Caenorhabditis elegans: one gene and its partners. The protein of the gene in region 4 purifies or fractionates together with the protein of the main gene of each other region. This does not show direct contact. Each region holds a gene or a part of one and is shown on either strand. Other genes may lie near its edges.

Region 1 (6,855 bases), 2.1 Mb from region 4:
TAATATGTAGTACCCGTACACAAAAACCTTTAAACATTTCAAAATTTCACCGACATATTTTTTCAACAATATTAGGACTAGAAAAAAGTGGTTCTGTAAGTCTAAAAATGCAACGAAACTTTAGATTTAATTACAATTTTTGAATAAAAATATGCGAAAATTCGAAGGGGGGTTACTGTACAAATATACTAAATATATAAGTACCGCAACTTATAGGATTTTAGGTTCAGATTTAAACATTGTATCTTAATATGAAGTATAAAGCAATTGTAATACGGGAACAAAAAATTCTGAGAATGCGTATTGCACAACATATTTGACGCGCAAAATATCACTTAGCGAAAACTCCTGTAATTCTTTAAATTACAACTGTAGCGCTTGTGTCGATTTACGGGCTCGATTTTTGAAATGAATTTCTTTTCGAATAGTGACAACGATATTTTGTAGCTTTTAAGTTTTCTTCTAATATTTGATCGATTATTTATTAAATGATGTCCGTAAGCGCTACAGTAGTCATTTAAAGAATTACTGTAGTTTTCGCTACGAGATATTTTGCGCGCCAAGTATGTTGTGCAATACGCATTCTCAAAATTTTGTGTTCCCATAATAGCATTTCGTACATGGTTGGAAGAAGGTTTCCGCACGCTCATTTTATCGTCTTAATTTTTGAAGGCGGCCAATGCAAAAAAAAAAAAATAATCTAAAAATGTTTGATTCTTGTATTCAGACATATTCTCTCAATGGCACAACATTAACCACAATCTATTACAGAGGGCGAATTGTATGGGCTCACGGAAAACTTCAAACAGTTCCCGGATCTGGGAAATTTATTCCCCTTCTTGCGAATTCACCATTCGTTTTTTCAACTCACGAGAAAAGGGAACAGAAAATTCAACCAAGGATAGTTGAAAGGCTTGAATGAAATTGCTTTTTTATTTATTACTTTTCTTGTTCTGATTAACTTTCGAATTACCATTTTGAGTTAAAAACGTGAATAAATTGTTTGTTCAATATTGAGATTACAACCAAAAAGTAATATTTAGTCGACTAGTCAATTGACTTGGAAGCAGCTCTAGAAATGTTTAATGTTCCAATTTCAAAAAAAAATCGAACAAAATTCCCCCTCATTATCAGACAATCTTCGTTTTCACTTGAAGATCCTCAAAAAACATCGCCTCGAACTTTTACGCACAAAGCAAATCTTTGAAAAATATTATCAGCCTAAAACTTTTATCATACCGAGTTTAATTACTACGGGTCACACAGAACCACATTACAAAAATATAAAACATTTGACTAAAAAATTACAATAAAACTAGCGGAAAAACCGTAAAATTATTATCCTAGGTGACCGTAAAATTATTATCCTAGGTAAAACATCAAGTGTATGTGGCATAGCTCCAAATCTATGCATTGACGCGCTTCTGATTGAGATCGGTTTGTTTGTAGCCGATTTCCTTTGTAAGTTCCTTGAGGCGCTCGCCTTGCGACTCCTTTGCTTCAATTGGTCCTTTAGTCCTGCAAAATATAAATAAATTTTTGTTTTAAACAAAAAAAACCTACGTTAGTTCACCCCAGAGATCTCTTCCACGCTTTGCATACTCATTTGCCACATAAAGTGGAGTGGGAATCGACGTGCTCAGGGAAACAATTTGGTGATGATGACACAAAGTGAAGGTCAGCTCCTCCAGGCGGTCCATTGGAGCTTTGCAGTCGTCAGCAAGAACAGTGTACAATGGTGTCTTTGCTGTTCCTTGAAGAGTCGTGTGACCGTTCAGGAAGAACTGCTTACATGCCGGATTCGTGACAGCGTTATCCAAGACAATGCCCGGAGGAATATTCATTTCAGTGGCTTTGCCGCCCGAACGAAGCTGAAAAGTTAGCGTAAAGAGAATAATAAAACAAATTTACCTGATCACGGAAGAATCGGTAACTGTGCTCCTTAGTGACGACGATGAAAATCAATTTGATTTCTTTCGAGTAACCATGGATAATAGCTCGGGCTAATGGGATTTCATAAGCCAGAATAGAAGCGTGAGAACCCTCCGATGCACCACTTCTATAAATGATGATTCTTTTTGGCAACGCTTTGCGGTTCTTTTCGAACAAATCGATTGAATTTTGCAACACGTCTTCAATTGATGCCATTGTCTGTAAAAATTACCATGTTGTTAACTCGAACACATTAATTATTTACGTCCTGTCCGGAGGGAGCCAAAACGAAATCGCCGACAAACTCGTGATTTGCAACAGCATTTGAAGCGAAGCCAATGATTTGTGGATTAAGATGTCCCTTGTTATCCATCATGTACTTCGTTCCAGCCGGTGGTGCGGAAACGCCAACTCCGATGATCAATTGTTCGTCGGTCATGCTCTTCTTTGCATCCGAAACAGTGTAGTTAAGACCACCTAACTTCACGTTAGTTTTGTTGATGATGTTCTCCAACGTCAATCTCTTCCCATCTTTGACAACGGCATTGGCTTTGGAAATTTTCATATCCTGGACGATCATCATTGTTCTCTGTTCCAAGGCTTTGTACTGCTCTGAAATTTTCAATGAACCATGAAAACTTAAGGAAAACTTACTGTGGAGGTGAACGATTGCGTCATCAGTGATCATCAAGACATACTTGCACTTACTCGCAGCCACTTTTTCCAGCTGAGTCATAATTTTTTCCGTACTGTAAAGTCCTGTTTCACATGGTGGCTTGATCACCATGCCTTTCTTCTTGCAAGAATCAATGAACATTCCGACGAGTTGGCTTAAGAATTGAATTGATTCATGTAAATTTCTATTTGTCTTACTTGACATCTCCAATGGAGAATCTGCAACCTGGATTTCCAACAGCGTAAGCAGCCCACAAATCAGGAACAGTCGCAGGCTTCACAAACCATCCTGGAGGCGCACGCCATTTTCCCATATCCGACATTACCGATCTCTGGTATACAAGTTCTTTTCCATCAAGCTCACGTGCTTGGACCTGGAAAAAGAAAACAAATATATTTTTTTACAATTTACACAAACTAACCATCAGAGGCTCCGAGTAAACCTTGATTCCAAGAGCGACGAGCAACTCGTTTTCGAGTGTAATGTTGACAGCATTTTTACCAGTGATGATCATTCGCTGACGGACATCCGGAAGAACCGCGCACTCCTTCGTTGTCTTTTGAGATTGATTTCCCGTTTGCTGAGGAATGGTGACACGTTGATTTCTGGACACAGTCATCAGTTCAGCCGGGAAGTAATTGTTGTTGCCTCGATCCTTACAAACCACCAAATTGGCGTTCGGATACTGTAGACTGATCTTGTATTTGTCCGCATAGTACTCGGCGATTGAACAAGTTTTTCCATCGGGCAACTCAAATCTGGTCTTTGTGGCACTTTCGTGAAAGATACCTTCGATTCTTAGATGGCGCTTTCTGTTGGTATAAGTCGAATAGCAATCAAGTCCTTTAATCACTGCCGCAGCCTTCTCACGGGTCATATTATTGAGTCCATTTGAAGGATCTTGTCCCGTGATGTCGAACAGTTTTTGGATCACAGTTTGCTCTTTGTGGAAAGCAGCTTTCATACCATCAATCACGAGAGATGGATTGTTCTGTCCGCGACCATAAGGACCCTCGATGAATTGAATCGTCTTCTTGAGGCCAGGATAAAGTTGTTTTCCGTCTCCTACGTCGACACAGTCTCGTTGATCGAATCCTTCTTCGGTGGCGTTGAGGAAATATACTTTTCCGTGCTCGAAGCATCCGAAACGATTTCTAAAATGAAGCGATGCTTTTAATAATTTTCGAAATTCACTTACGTTTCTCTCACGCAATGTTGATTCAGAGCAAGTTCCAAGAATTGAGTGTATTCTCGATTGTTTACTTCAATGTTTTGATCCGCAGTACGCTTGCCCAGATTTTCAGAAGAGAGCGTGATAGAGTTGTCCCTTGGGGCATAAATCTCGAGAGAAATGCAAGGCAGGGTCTTAAGGTCGTCATTGCCGGTATCAGCTCCGTTGATTTGGAAGACTTTGGACTTCGTACCGTTGGCATCCAGTTCTGAGAACAAGTTGACCGTCGTGTAGAGAGTTGATTGACCGTCATATACAATCTGATTCCCATCCTTCATTTTGAAGAATTCCGGGTTCTTCTCAACCGCAAGGAAAAAGATGTTGCAACACTTATCGCGACGATCCTGAACGACGAAGTCCTCCTTTCCTTTTTTAGTGAAAGTCACTTCCTTTGTTGAAGTCAAATCGGCCTTTGCGTGAACCATAAAACGATGAACTGTGGTTTCCTTTGTGACTTCAATTCCGAAGACATTGGTTTGGATGTCCACTGGTCTGCCCATTTTTCCAGGTTCGGTTGGCTTCATGTACATTTTCGCACCATCCTCAACCTGCAAATATGGCATTAGAAAGATCTTTGAATGCTGATAAACATACGTTTAACTGTTGTAAACGCTTGATGCATGCGTCGTTGCCAGTGCTTTGGTGAAGCTTTTGAGCATCGGCTGGAACTGGAGGCATTGGAGTCATAGCTCCTGGTGGAGCAGTGACTGGTGGCATTGGAGGCATCGGTGGATGCGGTTGTGGTGGATGAGGAGACATCTTATTACTATTGCAATATTAGTTCTGAAAAAAGCTTATATAAATAATATTCTGCACCGAATAAGCGAGATTGGAGAACATCTATAGAAAATTATGAATTTGTGAGATATTTAACAATAGTTTAAACAAATAAATCAGTTTTCTTCAAGAGATCAATCTAGAACGAAAATGGTACGTTATGAAGAAAGGGCAAACTACGGAATTTTCGTATTGCCGACGAAAAAGAATAATGATTCGAGATTTTTCGGTGTTTCAGAGGCGGCATAAAAACAAATAACGACTAGATTTGTACAAAATCATCATTATTAATGACGCAAGAATACAGAATCCGATAATTGGCGGCTAGATCAAATGTAGATCACTTTTACATTTTTAAGATTCAACGAGCAAGTTTCTTAAGATTTTGTAACTAGATTATTATTAAAATATAAAAATAATCTTGAAAATTAACAAAAATTATTGAAAACTGTCACAAACCGGAAAAGAATACAAAAAACAATTTCTTCGTCCTAAAAAATTTAAATGACAACGCATACAGTACATAAGAATGGAGATCGCTGCGAGACCCACTCAGTGTTAAAACGAACGCTCCTTGAATTTATTTTTGCTGTACAGCCTTATTTTTCTCCTTTTTACAAGTATTGTGTGCTTTCCATGTTTTAAAAAGTGACTTAGTTGTTAATTTTATTTTGAATGATACTCATCTAATTCAGGCTTGTAGCTTAGATCGCAATGAAGTTAATCGTTTGCAACCTATGTGGATTCCCGCCAGCAAGAAGGCAATTTTACATCACCACCTGCTCTCACATCTTGTCGAACAACGCAGACTGCTGGATTTTGTTATTTGTGTAAGGTCCCTACGAAAACTCTTAAAATAGATGGAAATCTGCCGAAAATGTGCGGAAAATGTTCAGCGCTGTACATCCCGATTCGCGACGTGACTGTAAAAAGTACAGATATTCTCAAACGTCTCACCAGAATTATTGGTTTTTAAAGTATTCAGAATTCAATTTATTAGGAAAACGAAAAATAAAAGGTAATTTTTTGCACTTGTTTCATGCAGAAGAAAAAGTTTTATTTCAGTCGGTGATGCTAAAAGATCAAACGGCGAAAACAGAGAAAAGGACACAGGAAATCACATGCCAACTGTCGAAGCTAGCCAATTTTGAGGAAAATAATCGAAAGAAGCTTCAAGATACTGAACGCGAGAACAAGAAGCTTCGAAATTTGTAAGTAGTTTCTGCACGAGATTAAATTTAACATTTTTTTTCTATTTTAGAATCAATTCCCTTGAACTGAAACTTGTCAGTTCTCCTGTTATCGACAATAACGATTTTTTTATTCAAGGAAAATCTACCTCTTCAAATCCTTTTTTTTTTAATCTCGGAAAATGACGAATTGCTCGAACGTGTATTTCACTTCCATTGTGCCACCTTCACCAAATTGTCAGACTTCCAACTTCTTTTTTTTCCAACACCAATGTATGTTGCAAATGAGTACGCGAAGAGTGGTCGTAATTTGTGGAATGAAGCCATGTGAGTTTAAGAAAATGACAACAGTTGATATTAAAATATTTTTGCAGCATTGCGGATGCAATTCCCGAAGTTTCTGGACCAGAGGCAGCTCGTATGAAGCAGATTACCGATAGCATCAAATACAAGGAATCCGGCTTCCTGATCGACCGTCGTGTCAATGCTTCAGCACTAATAATTCAATCAAATTGTAGTATTTTCAATTCCAACTTCTAGTTTGTGAGAAGCATACCATGATTTTTTATTTGTATCCCACCCTGTCATTCTTGTTTTTGCGTTACATACAATGCGTATCTAATAGTAAGTGGTGTAACTGCTAATTTCATTTTCCCCCGTTGCCCTATTATTGTTTTGACCTACGTGGAAATTGATTTTTTGTTGTTGTTGTTGAGTGCAGATTATAGAATGTAGCCTGTTGTTATGTTAAGTTGTACGTGCAATGTTGTTGTAGTCTCCTTAAACCCATAAAAATCATAAAACTTATTTCAGTTTTAAGTTTGAAAAATCGGGATCACCAAAATAATATTTCTTTCGCTTTTTTGGTTTTGAACAAAGTTTTAGATTGGGAAAATTTTCAAAAAACCAATACATGGAAATTTTATTTTTTTTGTTTTTTTGTTATGGAATACCAGTGTTCTCCGTAGAGCGCACTTTCATTTATATTTTCGGCGCGTTATTTATTGTTTCAAACCAACTCTTTGCATTTTGCGCTACATTATATAACG
Region 2 (4,876 bases), on a different chromosome or scaffold from region 4:
TTTCTGATTTTTCAAGGTAAGTTACATAAAATAGTTTTAATGATTTTAAGCAATACATAAAGAAGTTATCAAAATAACAAACCTTCAAATCCTGTGTGAATGTTAGACTATTGATTTTGAAATACGCAGTAGGTCCTTCAGGCAAATGACAGAAAATAATTCCATTTGGCTTCTTTCTATCTTCGTGTACAACAAGCAAATCAGTGAACTCTCTTTCTTTAGCCTGTTCGATGATTGTCTTGAGCAATACGTTCTTTCTTGTGAATATTTCAGAGTTTGGAATACATTTTTGAAGTTCGAAACAGAATTTGAAGGTTGTCTGAAAATATGGTAAATCAATGCTTTGAATATTTTAGAAGTGAAACTTACGATTTTAGCTTTTGGAGTCATTGTGATCATTACTTTTGGAGATGTTTCTCTGTTGAAATATGGTGCAAACTCGTCGTTGGCCTCGTCGTGCTCAACTTCGTCATCTTCTTCATTTACCATCGTCGCATCATACTCCCGCATACTTTCAATAGTTTTTGGAACTTCTTTTTGTGGAGCACTTTCTCCCAGTTCATCTCGAATCTGAGCTCTTTCTCCCTGTCTGGCTCTTTTGTCCTTTCTCAATGCTCTTTTCAATGCTTTTCCACGTTGACTTTTTGGCAGATGTTTGAAGTCGTCTTTTGTTTTTGTGGCTGTAGCCTTAGACGCTTCATACTTTTCCAGTAACTCTTGAAGCTTCTCATCGGTCAATTCTAGTTCTTGTTTGATTTCTTTCTTCACAACTTTCTTCTTCTTTTTCGGTGGCTCATCTTCATCTGAATCCACCTCATCTGGCATGTCTTCGGCTTGTTCAAAACCATCTTCATCGACGTCACCAGTAACTTCTTCTTCGACAAAATCAATCATCGACTCTTCTTTCTTTGACTTCTTGGACTTTTTTGGAGCCATCTGAAACAAAGTACGAGCATTTTCAACAAGGCATCAAAAATATACATAAATATATATAAACTGGATATTGAACCCAAGCATAGCGAATAATCAAGTTAAAAATTAATAAGAATATTTATACTGTTTGAAAAATTGGCAAATGAGGTAATCATCGAGGAATGCAATAGCTTACATGTACAGCTTCCCGTAATAATTTAGAAATTAAGTAAGATATAGTGGTAACTAATACTGATATGAACAAGAAAAATTGTTATAGTTCATCGTCGAAATGAACACTTGAGAGAAGTGGCCGTATCTTGGCCATTTCTAGATCCGTTTTAGCGTCGACTCGTTTACACCCGGATGAAGAAAATGCTTTGGAAGATTCAGGGAAGTATTGTAGAGAATTAAGAACTCGTTCGACAAAATCCACGTTGGACACCAGATCTCCTCTTCCTCGTTTTCGAAGATAAGCACCAACGCAACTTCTGACATGTTCTCGTTGTAACGGTAGAAATGGAACGAAATGATCGATAAGATGATTTGAGATGAGCTCGCTCATCTGTAAGCCACCTTTCTCGTTGTATGAGAAGTTCATAAGTTCTCGTTCGAAAGCTTCCAAGCGGAGTTGTTCACGTGGATAGCCACTTTCGTACTGTTCTTTTGTTATTCTTGCTATTTCTCCTCCACCTTTATTGCTTAGTAGAATGAAGATGCTTCTTCGAAAATCCACGCCAGAAATTGTCGAATAATAGTCGAGGAACGGTTTAATTGCGCCTAGCAACTGCTCTGGTAGTTTATCAGCCTCATCGAAAATGAATATTGATCGTTGACATTTTTGTACAGTTGTTAGAATCCGATTTCTTAATTCAACTTGATACTCTTCCAGTTTATTTTTGTCTGGAAAATCATTGGTCGCCACGATATGCTGGACAAAAGTACTGCGGAGTCCAAGCCTGGAATTAGAAATTATTGTTTTTCAACTAAAAATTTAACAAATTCCGAACCTGAACGTATTGTTTGCTATAATTTCAGCGACATAGTTCTTTCCTGAGCCTGTGTAACCGTGAAACGAAAGAACCAGTGGTTTTCGGGGATTTTCATTGTACCAATGAGATTTTATGGAATTTACAACGACGTCCTTTACCAAATGTTGGCCAAACAGTAGATTTGCAATATCCGCGTCCAGTGCTTAAATTAAGAATAATTGAATTCAGTGAAAAGGTGGAAAATATCTTACTGTGATAATTGAAATTTACGTCAGGTTCATGACAGCATTCATATAAGTAACACTTTAAACGATCCTTAAGACCCCAAAACGCTCCGGCCGATATCGCGATAGTCGTGCCTGAAAAAACCGAATATAATTAAAAATTCGACTTCTTCTCACCGGAATCTTTAATCTTACCGGTAATCACGCTTATCAATTCCGTGTTGACAAAGCACAAATGGAAAAGAAGGAGAAGAACATAATCAAGTTTCATCCACCTGAAAATTGATATTACGCTCGAGTAAAGGACACGAAAAATAAAAATAGAAGTTTTGTTTAATTCCAGGAATTGAAACTATAGTTTTATACATGAATTTGATAAAATTATAATAAAATTAAGGCAAAAATTTTTTTTTTGCAAACGGGCAAAAATATCCGTGCATTTTTATGTGGCGCTGTTTGCAGATTTGTACACCGTAACCCATAAAAAAAATTTCGGAAAGTGGAATTTGGAAGCCTACAATTGTTAATTGGGTAGAAAAATTGAAAATTATTGAAAGAAGAAAAAAAACAGCGGTACAAATAAAATACAGAAAACTAATAATCAAAGAGAGTTTTTCCTAGTGAACATGCTTATTTTCTTGTCTATAACATTCATTATTACTAATAAACACAAATTGAACACATAATTTCTAGAAAATTGGAAAAGAAACTGAAAGAAACGATTAATAGGAAGAAAACAAGGAAATCGATAAAAATTCGCTTGCAAAACCTCTACAGTAGTTTTAAAGACGCACATGCCAAACGTTTTTAACTTAGTTTGGAGCGCGTGCCGAGACCATTCCGCGTAAATGTGCCCTCCTTTAAGCTTATAGAATGGGTATATAAAAGACACATATATAAAAGACACCAATACTGCTTATTGATTTATTTCCAAGAAAAGCTCTAAAAAAAACATACTTTTCCAATACTTCATCGGTTATTTGGACGTTTTTTAAGATTAATCTGCCCGAAAAATGACGAATTTACTGAAATTTCCAAAAGGTATCGCTGGTCTGTCAAAACTTCAGCGAAAGACTATTAGAACCTGCATACTAATGTTCAAGTGGCCTTAGAGTGTGAAAGACTAATTAAGAAAATACGGTAATAGCTATGTCTGCAGAACGCGCCCAGGAAGGGTACTGGGAATTTCAAATTTTTAAGTCGAACAATATTTTTTCAGAAGTGAGGAGGAGTAAAAATGTTAGAATAAAACTTTTTTTCGGATACCTATCGATATCTAGCTCCTAATAATCTCCCTCTCCATTTTTGTCGTCGACAATCTCCGAAATCATCCAATCGTTCTGTGAAATTGGTATATTCTTGTAATCAGGCAAATTGATTCTTTGTTTGAAAAAAAATTTTGCAGGATCTTTTTTGGAATAGCACATTCCGAAATAATGTGTTTTTCCTCTTTCATATTCTTACAATACATGTTCAATTATTCTCTGAATTCACATCTGGATGAGTCAATTGGAATCCGTCACATTTTTCAGTTCACCACAAAAATGTTGTACTTTTTCTATACTAGATGGTGACAAGAATGATAAACTATTTGCTCTTGTTGCCATAAAATGCGGGGAGGGGCGGTGCTGCTGTTGGCTGATGATGGTTGTGCGTGATCAGTCGATTCTTCCCCGTTATCAAAGTTTTTCAAAATACTTCAACTCTTTTCTCTATTTCTATCTATCGGGTCTCTCTATGTTTAACTATTTCTATTTGATTTTGATTTTCCCCCGACTATTCCAAGTTCACTTTTCACACTTTTCCACGAATCGATTAATATTTGAATTACCTTGGGTATTAGCTTTTCTGTTATATGTATAACTCTATTTAAAAATGCTTTCAAAAATATTTCAACCTTCAGAAAAGTTTTATAAGGTCTTCAATTTCATCAAACAAAAGAAAGTTTGATTAAACTTTCTAATAGCTTGTTTGGAAATCACAAAAAACTAATAAACCATTTAGCAACTTTCCGATTGTTTTCAGTTTTATTTAGTAAAATACAAAAATATATTTATTTGAAAACAAAAATTGAATCAAAGTTGGGCAATTACCAAAAATACAATTGGCAACTTTCATGTATTTTCGAGCATACATACCTACGCAGTTTTAACCTAGAACAAATATATGTTGCAGATTAATAATATATTTTTCTACATCTTGACACTACGTTTTAATTTTTAAAAATGTTGGATCAACATGCCGCAATAGGTTAATTTGTATAATTTGCGCATATCCCTGATGGGGATAACTTTATTTAAATTAGTGTTTTAAACGGGACAGACTTTTGGAAAAAATGAAGTTAGATCTTAAAGTTAAAGTATTTTCAGTAATGATTTATATAAACTCTTACAAAATATTTTGATTTTCAAAATGTTTTTCAAAGTTTTGGCAACCTGCCAAGTTGTTTAAATATGGTACTTTTTTCAAATTTTATGATTACTGTAGGCTAAAACCTAAACAATGTTCTGATCCGAACGATTGAAGCATCTTTAAAATATAAAACTCGTAGGATACTTTTTTGGACGACATACACAGTTTTGATATGTGAAACCTAGATGTTAGCCACTTTTTTCCAGATTAAAAAAAGTCAAATAATTTTTGTCCAATGATAAAATAATCTTACAATTAGCTACGTTTTCATGTAAAAGAAAGTTATTTTTTACAATGAAGTTTTAGTTGCACATATTTCGAACCAATCGTGCATAA
Region 3 (5,763 bases), on a different chromosome or scaffold from region 4:
ACTCTATTCGGGAAACCTTGTCTGCAAATTCTGATTCCTTCGAGCACACCGTTGCATCTCAGCTGCTCAAGTACAAGGTTGGAGTTGATTTTTCCGGACTTCTTCTCGTGATTTGGAATGATACAACGAACAAAGTGTGGAGATGTATTCCGAAGAGTAGTCATAAGCTTTGTAAGTTGCTCTTTGTGCAATTGCGAGACAGTTCGGAACATTCCCTTGCGAGACCTCATTCCAAATGCAGTCTCATTCATTTCCGCCGCACAGATGCCAGCAAACTCGGCGTCCTTCCAAATTCCAGCAACAAACGGATCAGTGGAGTTCTGCATTAGTCCAACAACATTTTCATTCAATGGATCCATGTTTTTCATGAGCCATTGATCAGCAGAGTAGTCGACGCGGCCAGCGTAGTGAACAACGGCAAAGTGGCTCTTAGATCGCATATCAGGAACAATGAACTTCGGATGCTTGTTGTGTGTTTTCTGAAGCTTCTCAACAAATGACTTGTCGTTCGCTTTAGGGAAAAGGCATTCTTCATCAAGAAGGGCCAGAACTCCCATTGGTTTCTCAATAAGATCAATTGTCGGCTGCAAATCGAGTCCGAAATCAATGAAATCCCATTCAATTCCTGAAAATATTATTGTAAATCTTTGCAAGTTACATTTTCCGAAAAAAAACAAACCTTCTCTCTGATACTCTTCTTGTTCTAAAATGAACATGGTATTGTTGAACAACTGTTGAAGTTTCTCGTTTGTATAGTTAATGCAAATTTGTTCAAATGAATTGATATCAAAAATTTCAAAACCAGCAATATCGAGAATTCCAATGAATGATGCTCCTTGGCGGTGAGTTCTATCAAGAGACTTGTTGATTCTGGTCACAAGCCATTTGAACAGCCTTTCATAACTGGCCTTTGCAATGGCCTCGACGGCAAACTCGGCTTGTTCCTGGTTTTGTGCCTTGTTCACAAACTCTCTTCCAACTTTGATGCGTGGACGGAGGAACGCCTTCTGCAGCTCGATTACTGGGAGACCAAGAAGATGGCACACCTTCTGAATCACTCTGTCATCCTGAAGCATTGCCTGATCACTCTTCTTCTCCTGAGTGAATTCCAGGTTTCCGAGAAGAAGGACGGCAGAAACAACACGCATAATTGCTGAAAAAACATGGTTTTTTGATTTTCAGGTTCAATATGGTTTACGTACATGAAATTTCATCGTCGGCAAATCCCATAATGCGCATGGAGTTGATTGTGCTGTGAAACTCTTGAACATCGTCTACGTTTGGAAGAGTTATTCCACGATTTACCAAAAATCTGTAGTTGTCGACTCCTTCCAAAAGGTACTCACCTGAAATTATTAGTTAAATGTGGAATTTTATATAATTTTTTGATACATGAAAAAAACTCAGTTTTTGTCACTCTTTTGGGCTTTCAAATGTTATGATCAATTAATGTTTAAAATGTTGATATTTAAACACTGTAGGGATTCAAAAATGCGGTAGTGCTATAGTTTTTTGAAAAAGTAGCACAAACTCAATAACAGCACTTTTTTGACCGTCAATTAAATTTTTTCAACATTGATTTTGAAAAGTTTTGTTATGATATTTGGTTACACTTATAAGTGGTTTATAACCATTTTTCCACTTGGGTTACTCCTGTTTCAATTTTTAAAAGGCCTAACGGTTTTACTTAAAAATTTTCAACGTCATTTTTGTCAAATGATGAATCACGCATGATTCACCAGGCTAATAAAAACAAATGCGTTCGGTTTGTTATAAATCCAATTCTTATGTTGGATTTTATGACTCAACCTACTTTTTTCTTTGGCGCTGCATCCTCTGAGTATCTGATAGAAAATGTGGAAACTTCTTTCGTCTTGAGCTTGACGAAGCACTCTCGATTTTTCCAGCAGATAAAATTCAATGTTCGCACCACTAATGTAGCCGCTCATGTCGAAATTGATACGGATAAATTTACCCTGAAAAAAAAAACCAAATATGCACGGGGGGCAAGATTAAAAATATCACACATACGAATCTGGAAGAGTTGTCATTTTTCACTGTCTTCGAGTTACCAAAAGCTTCAAGGATTGGATTGGCTTGAAGTAGTTGATGTTCCAATTCTCCCTGAAAACTTCGATATTAAACGTGTAAAACTATTTTGCAGTGGTGGCTAAATGAATTAACATGACTTTGATCAGGTTGTGAGCACAATAAAACAACATTTTTTGATTCGAGGATGAAGCTCTTTGGGAATAATTTGTTTGGAGAAAGCCGTTTGGATTTTAAAAGCATTTTTTATAATAATCTGTTTGCAGCAAATGGGGAAGAACTGCATCTTTTTTGTTGATTTCCTTAAAGGAGGAGAAACGGTTTGAAAATTTTTGAACTTATAAACTTTAAAATGTTCTCGAATTTTTAAAAATGTTTTTTCCACAGCTTAAAAATTTCGAAAAAATGGATAACATTCGCCAAAATACTCAATTTTGGCTTATTACGACTTTTTTTAGTTGAGCACATTTTGGGTATATACCTTCAAAATACACAAAAACCGTTACTGCTTCTTCAAATCAATTAGAACAATTAACATAATTAGATATGATTAGACAAGTTTTTTTCTGTTGGATTTTGTTGACATATTAGAACAAGGTGATGTACTGAACAAGAAAAATCAATAAATAAATTGTTACGGAACAATATTTTTTGTTACTGAAATAGTCACAGAAAAGTGTATCACGACAATGTCACGACAACAATTCACAACAAAATAGCAAGATAACAAGATCAAACTTACGATCGGATTGCGGACATCTGGCTAAATATATCAATTATAATAATTATTATTCTTCATCATATACCTTTTAAAGTAGATGTAACAAATATTTATAGTAACTAACCTTTTGAACAATATTTTGCTGTGCAGCAGCATTTAGCGACTTGTTTCGAGTGGCTCCAGCAACGTGAGCCAAATATTGAATAACTTTTTTCGTGTTTTCAGTTTTTCCTGCTCCAGACTCTCCGGTACACAGGATCGATTGATCTTCGCGTTCTGAAAAGAATATGATTTTTGCAAACGCTTTGTTTGGAAAGTATGTATATTGCTCACCTTGAAGCATACTTCTGTACGCAGTATCAGCAATTGCAAATATGTGTGGTGGCATTTCGTGTCTCTTTTTTCCTTTGAACTCTTCAATCAAATCTTCCGAGTAAATTGGAAGCTTTTTGTAAGGATTGATAACAACACAGAAGAGACCAGAGTAAGTCTAAAATAGTTATTTTGAAATTAAAATGTTTTTTTTTCTCAACTCACATAAATTAAACTAGAATAATATCTGTCTTTCAAGTTGTGAAGTACCGACGCTTCGTTTAAATACGTCAACTCTGACATATCTTCGATCTTGTCAAACTTTGGTGGATTCGCTTTCTGAACGTCATCTCTGCTGATTGTGACCTGGCGACTCGTGTCCACAAGCTCGACGAGCACTTCATCGTTTGTTTCTCGTCTGAAATTACTACCGATTACGGAATGAGTTGAGAGCACGCAAACTCACTTGATGGATCCAATGAGAAATCCTTCGTTCTGATCTGGTACCCAGCACAGTTTCCGCTGTGCCCACGCGGCAAGTGTGGCAGGATCGGCAACGGCCGCCCTCTGTACCTGCAGGTACTGCAGGTCACCCATTTGTTAACTTCGTAATATCTGAAAATTGTTTTCAATTTTAATTGAAATTGAGATCCGTTTTGCTATAAGATGTAAAGAGCGGAAAATGAGCCGAAACTGAAAAAAGAAGAGAAACGAAAGTGGGCGGAGAAGCGATGGGAAAGCGGATGGGCGCAAAAAATAAAACAATAAGAAGAGGTGAGTCACGTGTACGATTGAAGCAAATCAAATTTAATAAACATTTGTTCTCCAAACAATCATGTACAGTTTTGGTCGTTTTAAGACCAAATGCAAGAGGCCAAAATGTGCAAATATCATAATGAAAGACTCCAAAAATTTTTGGATTTTTTCAACTTTCTAGTGAAAGCTGTGGTGAATTGCCACATTTTTGAAAATATTAGTGTTAAGGAAATTATGTTTAAAAAAAATTAATTTAAAAAAATTAAAGTATAAAACTTGCAAAAATTTTTTTGCTCGGCTTCCAAAATCATAAGTTACAAAAACTGGGGCATGTTTTGACAGGAAATAAAAAAATGTTTTTAAATGTTCTACAATGATATTTGGTAATTCTTGTACCACGATAATAGTTTCAAACACTAAATTTTGAAAACAAAGATTTTGTTTTCAAGACTTTCTTAAGACAAATGGAAATTCAAAATCGCTTCCAACGCTTGTGATAGAAAATATTATTCTAAAAAATTCTAGACAAATGCTTTCATGCAGGCGGAGCTTGGAAAGGCGGAGAATCTGGGAGGAAACGCGGGAAAACGCCAACAAAAACAATGTGTTCCTGGGAATGAATCATCTGTACGATTTTTTTTGAACGATTCGTTTTTATAAACATTTTTGATGTCCGTTCCACGCCAGAAACATGGGATTGGAATTTTTTTTTGGTTGGGTCTTGAACGGAAATGAAGATGAAGCGAACAATGCAAAAGTGTTTCAAGTTGGCATTAAAGGTAGTGTAGCGCTAGTGGGGAAAAACAATTTTTGAAACATGCATATGACACTACAAATTTCATAATAAAAATATTTTCAAAAAATTTAAAAAAATTTAAAATGGTATTTTTAAAATTGAAAAAAATCTTAGTTTTTGCCACTTTGTGAAAGTCGTAGATCAAGAAAATTTCCTAGTTAATTTTATGGTCTATTTATGATAAAAATATTTGTATTAAAACACTTATAGTGCTCTAATTTTTTTTCAAAAAGTGGCAAAATCTCGGTAAATGCCACTATTTCACTGTCAATAAAAAAATTTCAAAAATTTCAAATTTGTTGTGAAAAGTTTTATTTTGATATTTGGTCATTTTGTCGCCATAAAAATGGTTCCTAACAACTTACCAATTGGGAACCTTCAGATTTGAAAAATTATATGGGGAAGTTGGATTAAAACAAATAAATCTAAAAATGGACTCAAATATAAATAATGTGGGACAAAACGCTATCGAGGTCAAGGAATGTAACCGATTTGGATTTCAAAACGTTGATGGAAAACAGAAAGACGACAAATTACTGGATTATAAATAAAAGTGCTGAAGGAAGCGAACGATGAACAAAGAGAGAAGGCGGTTTGGTGAGAGGATGGAAAGTACGGACAAGGTGTCCAGTTGTTCTCCAACAAGAAACGAAGAATCGCCTCTCCTCCTAAGCGGCTGTTATGTGGTACTAGACGTGTGTGTGTGATCGAGGACGGATACAGTGAGGGTGTCGAGTTAAATCTCTCAAAACGTCTCAGGCAGTGTGGAAGGGAAGGCGTCGTACGGTGAAAGTGAACAGCGGCGAACAAGGCGAACACGAAGAAGGACCTTTCGTTCGCATCGCCGCCAGGTAGTCAGAATAACTCAGCGGGGACGAGGTTGCCGCACGACCATCAGGCTGGATTCAGGAGGGAAGGGGGGGGGGGGGGGGGAGTGTGTGAAGGATTGGTTCGAAGAATTGATGTCCTTGATTCGCGCGCCAACCCAACCTTCTTGTCGTTCATCCTTCTTCCTCGCTCTCTTTCTTTCTCTAAGCACATCCAACTTTTTCACCTTTTCTCATACACACACACACACACAGACACACGCACAGTCGCACACACACATACATAGATATATACACATACA
Region 4 (5,625 bases):
ATGAGGCCTTGCACTTTTGGCACGAAATTCTGTTTTTGCGACGACGGCGCGGCGGAGAAGATCACTGGGGGTGAGAGGGGAACACTGAATGGAAAAAAGAATGAGAAAGAGAGAACAAACTAGAGACACGCAGAGATCAAAAGCACTGAGCCCAGTGAAAGAGAAACACTTTGGTCTCTTCGTCTTCCCCTTCTTCCCCTTTTTTCCGCAAAAAAAAAAGAGTTTTCACTCTTTCTCTAACCATCTGTCCACTCTCGTGCAGCCTACCCCCAGCAGTCCTTCGGCGCGGCGCTCACCCCCAGGTGTGTAGAGAGTGGGAACGACGAAGAGACTACAGACATTTGGGGCGCCTGGGGGAGACAGCGGGGCAGCCTAGGGGTGGAAATTTAGAGAAATGGAGAGGAAAGAGGGGAAAAAGACTTCTACACACACACACAGACATACACACACTTTTATCGTTCCCACCGTGTTCAATGTCCCATAGGTTTTTGCGATTTTTTTTTCAAAAAATGAATTGAAGTTACTTCCAATGTATATCTGTTAGAATCTGTCTTGATATGAAAAAGATATGTCACGCCCCTTTATGATATTTTGAGACTTTAGGTCAAAAGGTCACAAGTTCAATAAGTCTTAGAAATAAAAATCAGTAATTGAAACGAAATTCATGAAACTTTGCTTCCAGATATCCGGACATGTAATATTTAATAAAAATTAGCAATGAATAGTTAGACATGTATCTTTTATATGGTTCATCCAGAACATAATTCGTACAATATATTGGTTTTTGCTACGTGGCCTAGAAAGTCCAAAAATTCGGCCAGTGATTCATCTTTAATTTTTCACTTCAGAACTTTGTGAAGCTTGCCGACCAAGTTATTTCAACGAGCAGATTTTCGAGAAAATGACCATAGCTCCTTTTAGGAAGGTGGCCGTGTTTTTGTATGTCGCGGCCACATAGTAAAAATCACTCGGTGTAAAATGTGATCCTAAGACAAATTCCAACTTTAAGTTTTTGGCCTGGAAAACCTAGAGAATTGTCCAGAAAACTCCTACAATTTCGAAAAAAGGGGCGTTTTTGTTTATTTTACTTTGATTAATCCAACGCGAGATGTTTATTTAGTTAGTGTTTTTCGCATTCTTCAATTTTCGCTTCCCGGTTTCTATTGCTTCGATTAAATCCCTGTAAAGCTTTCACAAAGCCTAAAATGTTTGCCATTTCCATCACTTTTTAAGGAGCTGCTCAAAAACTTACTTCCGTATTGAATTTTTTGGAAGGAAAAATGTTTCAGATTTTTTTGTTTAATTTTTTTTGAAAATTTATCGAAAAAACAAATTATGTCGCAAAAAATGTTTGGTAAAACAATTTTTGAGATAGAGAACCGTACCGTAATCCTTAAAGGCGCATAGTCGGTTGGAAAAATTTTGTGTTCGTGACGAGACCCAACACATAAAATTACGAGTTTTCATCTAAAAATAAGTGTTTTCAGTGAATTCTTCTATCAAATAAAATTTTAACAAATTTATTACAAAAAACTCTTTAAAAATATCTTCAGATACATTCAAATTCATTTCGCCCCGTATTTTCAAGGAAAAATCGATAAGCTACCGTAACCCCATTTGTTTTATTATTTTATTGTCGCATCATTTTTCGATAATTTTTGAAAAACATTCAATTAATATATTTAAGTCTCGTTTTATTTCAGGCCACGGTTGGCGAACGGGTAAAAAGGAAGAGCCGATCGCCTCGTTACTCAAGGAAAAGGCTCGACGTCGCTGGAGGAGGGAAAAGTTGGTTTTTTAGGATAAAAACCAACTTAAAGTACAAAAAGAGCCGGAAACGGCGGGAATGCGACGTTGGAAACGATCGTGATCTTGAATAAAGGTGAGGAACTTTTAAATAACAAAGCAAAATGCGAAAATATATTAAAAATTAAAAACGTCGAAAAAAAATTAATAAAATTTTTTTATTCGAAAAATTTTGACCTACCACAAATTTTTTGACTACTTAATTTTTTGTTTTTTGTTTTTATTTTCGAATATTAAATTGAAAGAGCGGCATTTTTCTGATTTTCCCATCAAAAATCCTTGTCATCAGCAGCCCTCGGGCCATTTTTCTCTCATTTTGTTCCATTATTTTCATATAAAAAGTGCACTTTTTTTGTGCTTCACTGACTTTTTTGTTCGATTAATTGTTCCATTCGTTCTGAAAAGTCAAAAAATTCATAAGTATTCTAATTGTAGAGTCATCGTTTGCCCTTTCCACTGATAATTAATCAACCTTTTCAGACTTGGAAAAAGTGAAATGGCGACCATCGTGCCATGCTCATTGGAGAAAGAAGAAGGAGCACCATCAGGACCTCGTCGGCTTCAAACTGAGATCGACGTGGACGCCAACGACAGCGGAAACGAGCTGTCGATGGGCGGAAGCAGCAGTGAAGGTAACACTTGAAAATTGAAAAAAAAGCTTCCAACGAAACAACTTCAGGTGACTCAATGTCCCACCATCGCGGTGAGCATTCACCAAACCATCATCATCAGGATAATCATCTTGGCTCGGGACCACCACCACCACAGTTCACTGGCTCACTATTTGACACTCCACCGTCAATGATTCAGTCACCACAGCAGCAACCACAGTTCCAGTTCAACACTGGATTCGGACTCGGACTCCCGCAAGACTCCTTTCGGTGCTCAGTCTGCTCCAAGAGCTCGACGATTGGAGTGCTGCCGTTCGTTTGTGCGCACAAGTGGGGTTTCAAGACAAATTATCAAAATGACAATTATTTTTAGAACGTGCCAATCATGCTACCAGATGACACCGTCCTCGTACGATCGACGGGGTAAATAAATATCTCAACTTTCTGTATGATTTATGAATTTTAGCTTGCAAGCTGTGTGGTGCCGTATCGACAGCCACCGCCAACTTTACATCGCAGATGTACCTGTCTCCGACGCTTCCATCACCGCCACGTGGAGCTCTGATGTCGGATTGTTCGACACCAACGATGAATAATCACATTAATTGTATGTTTTAATTCTCAATTTACACCGAAGAATAACCCAAATTCCAGCATCAACTCCACTTCATCAACCTCGTGCATTCTCATTCTCACTCAGTGGAATGCCTGGATCACCGTCTCCAGTGATGGGTGCACGGATGCCATCGTCTGCTGGTGGGCTCATGATGCGTCCAATTGGATTCCCCGACTCGGACAGCAGTTTGACATCATGGTCTCCATTGCAACAACCATCACAGCTTTCTATCAATAATCTGTCGAGCATCGGAGGACACCAGCAACAATCGCCGATGTTGATGCAAAATGTGTTTGATTCGTTGGCAGTGGTCAGTTTTTATCAAATTTCAAACAGAGAAAAGTACAATTTTGTGGAGTGTGGAGCTATAAACAAATTCAATTTCCCGAATTTATGATGTTATATATTATGTGGTCGCAAATCGAAAAATGGTTCAATTTACGGTTTCGCCGTCAATACCTAACGAGACCCAACTTCTGGGGGTGGACCTCGATTAAAAAATGAGCATTTTTCTACGGCCCCATAATATTTCAAAAATCATTTTTTTCGCAAAAAAAAGTTAGCATTTCTCTCTTCCCAAGAAACATATTTTTCTCCCTGGCTTCAATAAGTTCAATAAGTCTTTTTTCTAATTTTTTTTGCTAAATGCGCCCTCCTGCGAGCTGAAATTGCACCTAATTCCTCGTATTCTTTACAGAACGATGATACTCCTGTATTCTCTCCACTCTCTCCAACGAATACTTCAATGCATATGCCACCATCATTGATGGCATCACCAGATGTTCCAAAACATTCTGCAACCATAGCTCCACCACGTAATTCCATGTGCTCGACGCCACGTCTTCAATTGGCAACACCAATGTCTTCACAATCACAGCAAACTTTTCCAATTCCTTCACCACTTGGATCTCAGCCACAACAACAACAGCCAATGGGTCCGATTCAATGTCAAGGATGCGAATCGAAAATGTTAGTTTTCCCCTAAAACTTCAAAGATAATTAAATTATATTTAAATTTTTCAGATCGTTCGCCTACTGTATGCAATGTCAGGAAGCTTTGTGTATTCATTGTGTTCAAGCTCATCAGCGTGTTCGAGCCACCAAACAACATGCGTTCGTTGAGCTTCAGCAGTTGATGGCTACTTTGGTTAGTTTTTATCTTATCGTGTGTTACTACACGCTTTTTGCGTCTCAACACGACAATTATTTTTTTGGAAATTCATAAAAAGTATGCGCCTTTAAAACGTACTGTAATTAAACTTTTCCATTGTTTTTCATTAAATATTTGTATATTTATTTATCGAAAACCTAAAATTAAAAATTAAAACCATAAAAAATCGATGAAAATTCACAGCTACAAAAATTTGAAACTACAGTACTCTTTAAAGGCGCACACCTTTTTGTAGTTTACAAAAATTGACATTTTGAGACATGATACCGTAGTTTGGGAGCAAAAAATAATATATGTGGTCTATATTAATATCACCTTGATCCGTTTCAAGATTCTCCACGTGCTTGATGACGTGAATCGTTTGTAATCAGGAATCATAAAAAGAGTACGCAATAATCATAAATCAATGACTCCTGTCAATCAAGAAAAAACACAGAATCAGTACTTTTTTGGTGTATTTTTCCGTTTTTAAATGTCTTATCAGTAACTGATTGCAGGATTAGAACACAAAAATTGGCTGCCGACCGTTCCACTACATTAGTAAAACTTCTTGAAAATAACTTTTTGAAAACTATCAAGGAAAGTATTTCAGCTCACTTTTAGATTTTTAAATGAAACTTGTGTCAGCAGTTTCACATTTTTCAAACAAAACCAAGTTCCAAAAAGCTCCCAGAGTGTTTGCTTACCTCCAAACACCATAAACATCACCAAAAGCTTGCAAAAATCCACATTTCGAAGAAAACAATTTACTGAAAGCAGTTTCAGAGCTGAAATACTTTCCTTACAAGTTTATAGATTTTTCTATCCGAATATGTCCACGTACTAGGAAATTCCCATTTTTCAACATCCAGGCGTTCGTTTCCCTTTTTCTTCTCCTTCAACCACCTTTTTTCGCCATTATTCACAAGCCAGTCGGAGGGCCAATTTAGTGCCGAGAGAGAGAGAGGTGTCTGCTCCTCATCCGGTGCTCTTTTTGCACTATAGTATTATTTTTTGCTCGGCGAACACGTAATTCCTCTAAAATCTAAAAGTATTATTTTCAGATGAGCCGTGCAGTTCAACCACAACAAGCACAGCAATACACTCAAAATGTTGGAGGATCAGTTCGTCAAGCACTTGGATCAGTTGGAAGTGGAGATGGTATATGAAGATATTCTACAGTAATTCAAACTGTTTCAGTTTTCTTTTCAGGACATGTGTCTGGCGTTGAAAATGATTCAATTGGCAGTGGAGAATCATCACCTCGAAGCTCTTCTGTGTGTGGAACTCATGATTCAGTAATCATTGGAATCTGTGAGAATTGTCCTCATTCAGTTCTATTGTGTGCAATCTGTGTTGCTCAACATCCTGGAAAGCATCGAGTTCAGCCACTTGGAGATATTCGAGTTGCTGTTGGAGAAGTTGTTAATGAGAGTCAATTA

Evidence for each region.
Region 1: the proteins of lin-41 (region 4) and wago-1 purify together in Caenorhabditis elegans (affinity purification with mass spectrometry, with the first as the bait; one large-scale study listed by BioGRID). This does not show direct contact.
Region 2: the proteins of lin-41 (region 4) and ooc-5 purify together in Caenorhabditis elegans (affinity purification with mass spectrometry, with the first as the bait; one large-scale study listed by BioGRID). This does not show direct contact.
Region 3: the proteins of lin-41 (region 4) and nmy-1 purify together in Caenorhabditis elegans (affinity purification with mass spectrometry, with the first as the bait; one large-scale study listed by BioGRID). This does not show direct contact.

The regions. Positions count from the first base shown.
Region 1 is NC_003279.8:7,233,151-7,240,005, reverse strand, and holds wago-1 (Argonaute protein wago-1), read right to left. Parts: upstream 4,623-6,855; 5' UTR 4,599-4,622; coding exon 4,434-4,598; intron 4,388-4,433; coding exon 3,807-4,387; intron 3,763-3,806; coding exon 3,030-3,762; intron 2,982-3,029; coding exon 2,806-2,981; intron 2,763-2,805; coding exon 2,587-2,762; intron 2,545-2,586; coding exon 2,198-2,544; intron 2,152-2,197; coding exon 1,912-2,151; intron 1,872-1,911; coding exon 1,564-1,871; intron 1,519-1,563; coding exon 1,407-1,518; 3' UTR 1,214-1,406; downstream 1-1,213. Other genes in the region: dhp-1 (Dihydropyrimidinase 1), read left to right, coding at 772-922; R06C7.2 (BEN domain-containing protein), read left to right, coding at 5,505-5,827, 5,878-5,902, 5,946-6,133, 6,181-6,346. UniProt on the Caenorhabditis elegans protein: Argonaute protein which is involved in the endogenous small interfering RNA (endo-siRNA) pathway. Interacts with secondary 22G-RNAs, which are RNA-dependent RNA polymerase-derived endo-siRNAs, typically 22 nucleotides in length with a 5'guanosine residue.
Region 2 is NC_003280.10:8,990,696-8,995,571, reverse strand, and holds ooc-5 (Torsin-like protein), read right to left. Parts: upstream 2,413-4,876; 5' UTR 2,400-2,412; coding exon 2,306-2,399; intron 2,264-2,305; coding exon 2,156-2,263; intron 2,107-2,155; coding exon 1,923-2,106; intron 1,872-1,922; coding exon 1,187-1,871; 3' UTR 1,038-1,186; downstream 1-1,037. Other genes in the region: Brix domain-containing protein F44G4.1, read right to left, coding at 83-319, 370-936. UniProt on the Caenorhabditis elegans protein: May serve as a molecular chaperone assisting in the proper folding of secreted and/or membrane proteins.
Region 3 is NC_003284.9:2,907,472-2,913,234, reverse strand, and holds the start of nmy-1 (Myosin-11), read right to left. Parts: upstream 3,709-5,763; 5' UTR 3,680-3,708; coding exon 3,549-3,679; intron 3,501-3,548; coding exon 3,308-3,500; intron 3,261-3,307; coding exon 3,104-3,260; intron 3,047-3,103; coding exon 2,895-3,046; intron 2,813-2,894; coding exon 2,792-2,812; intron 2,125-2,791; coding exon 2,032-2,124; intron 1,977-2,031; coding exon 1,814-1,976; intron 1,347-1,813; coding exon 1,203-1,346; intron 1,154-1,202; coding exon 680-1,153; intron 626-679; coding exon 1-625.
Region 4 is NC_003279.8:9,338,575-9,344,199, reverse strand, and holds the start of lin-41 (Protein lin-41), read left to right. Parts: upstream 1-1,703; 5' UTR 1,704-1,882; intron 1,883-2,286; 5' UTR 2,287-2,302; coding exon 2,303-2,438; intron 2,439-2,485; coding exon 2,486-2,747; intron 2,748-2,790; coding exon 2,791-2,840; intron 2,841-2,883; coding exon 2,884-3,024; intron 3,025-3,071; coding exon 3,072-3,343; intron 3,344-3,730; coding exon 3,731-4,002; intron 4,003-4,056; coding exon 4,057-4,180; intron 4,181-5,247; coding exon 5,248-5,344; intron 5,345-5,383; coding exon 5,384-5,625. UniProt on the Caenorhabditis elegans protein: Heterochronic protein which acts downstream of let-7 in temporal patterning. Plays a role in the developmental timing of postembryonic hypodermal seam cell division and fusion events and adult alae production.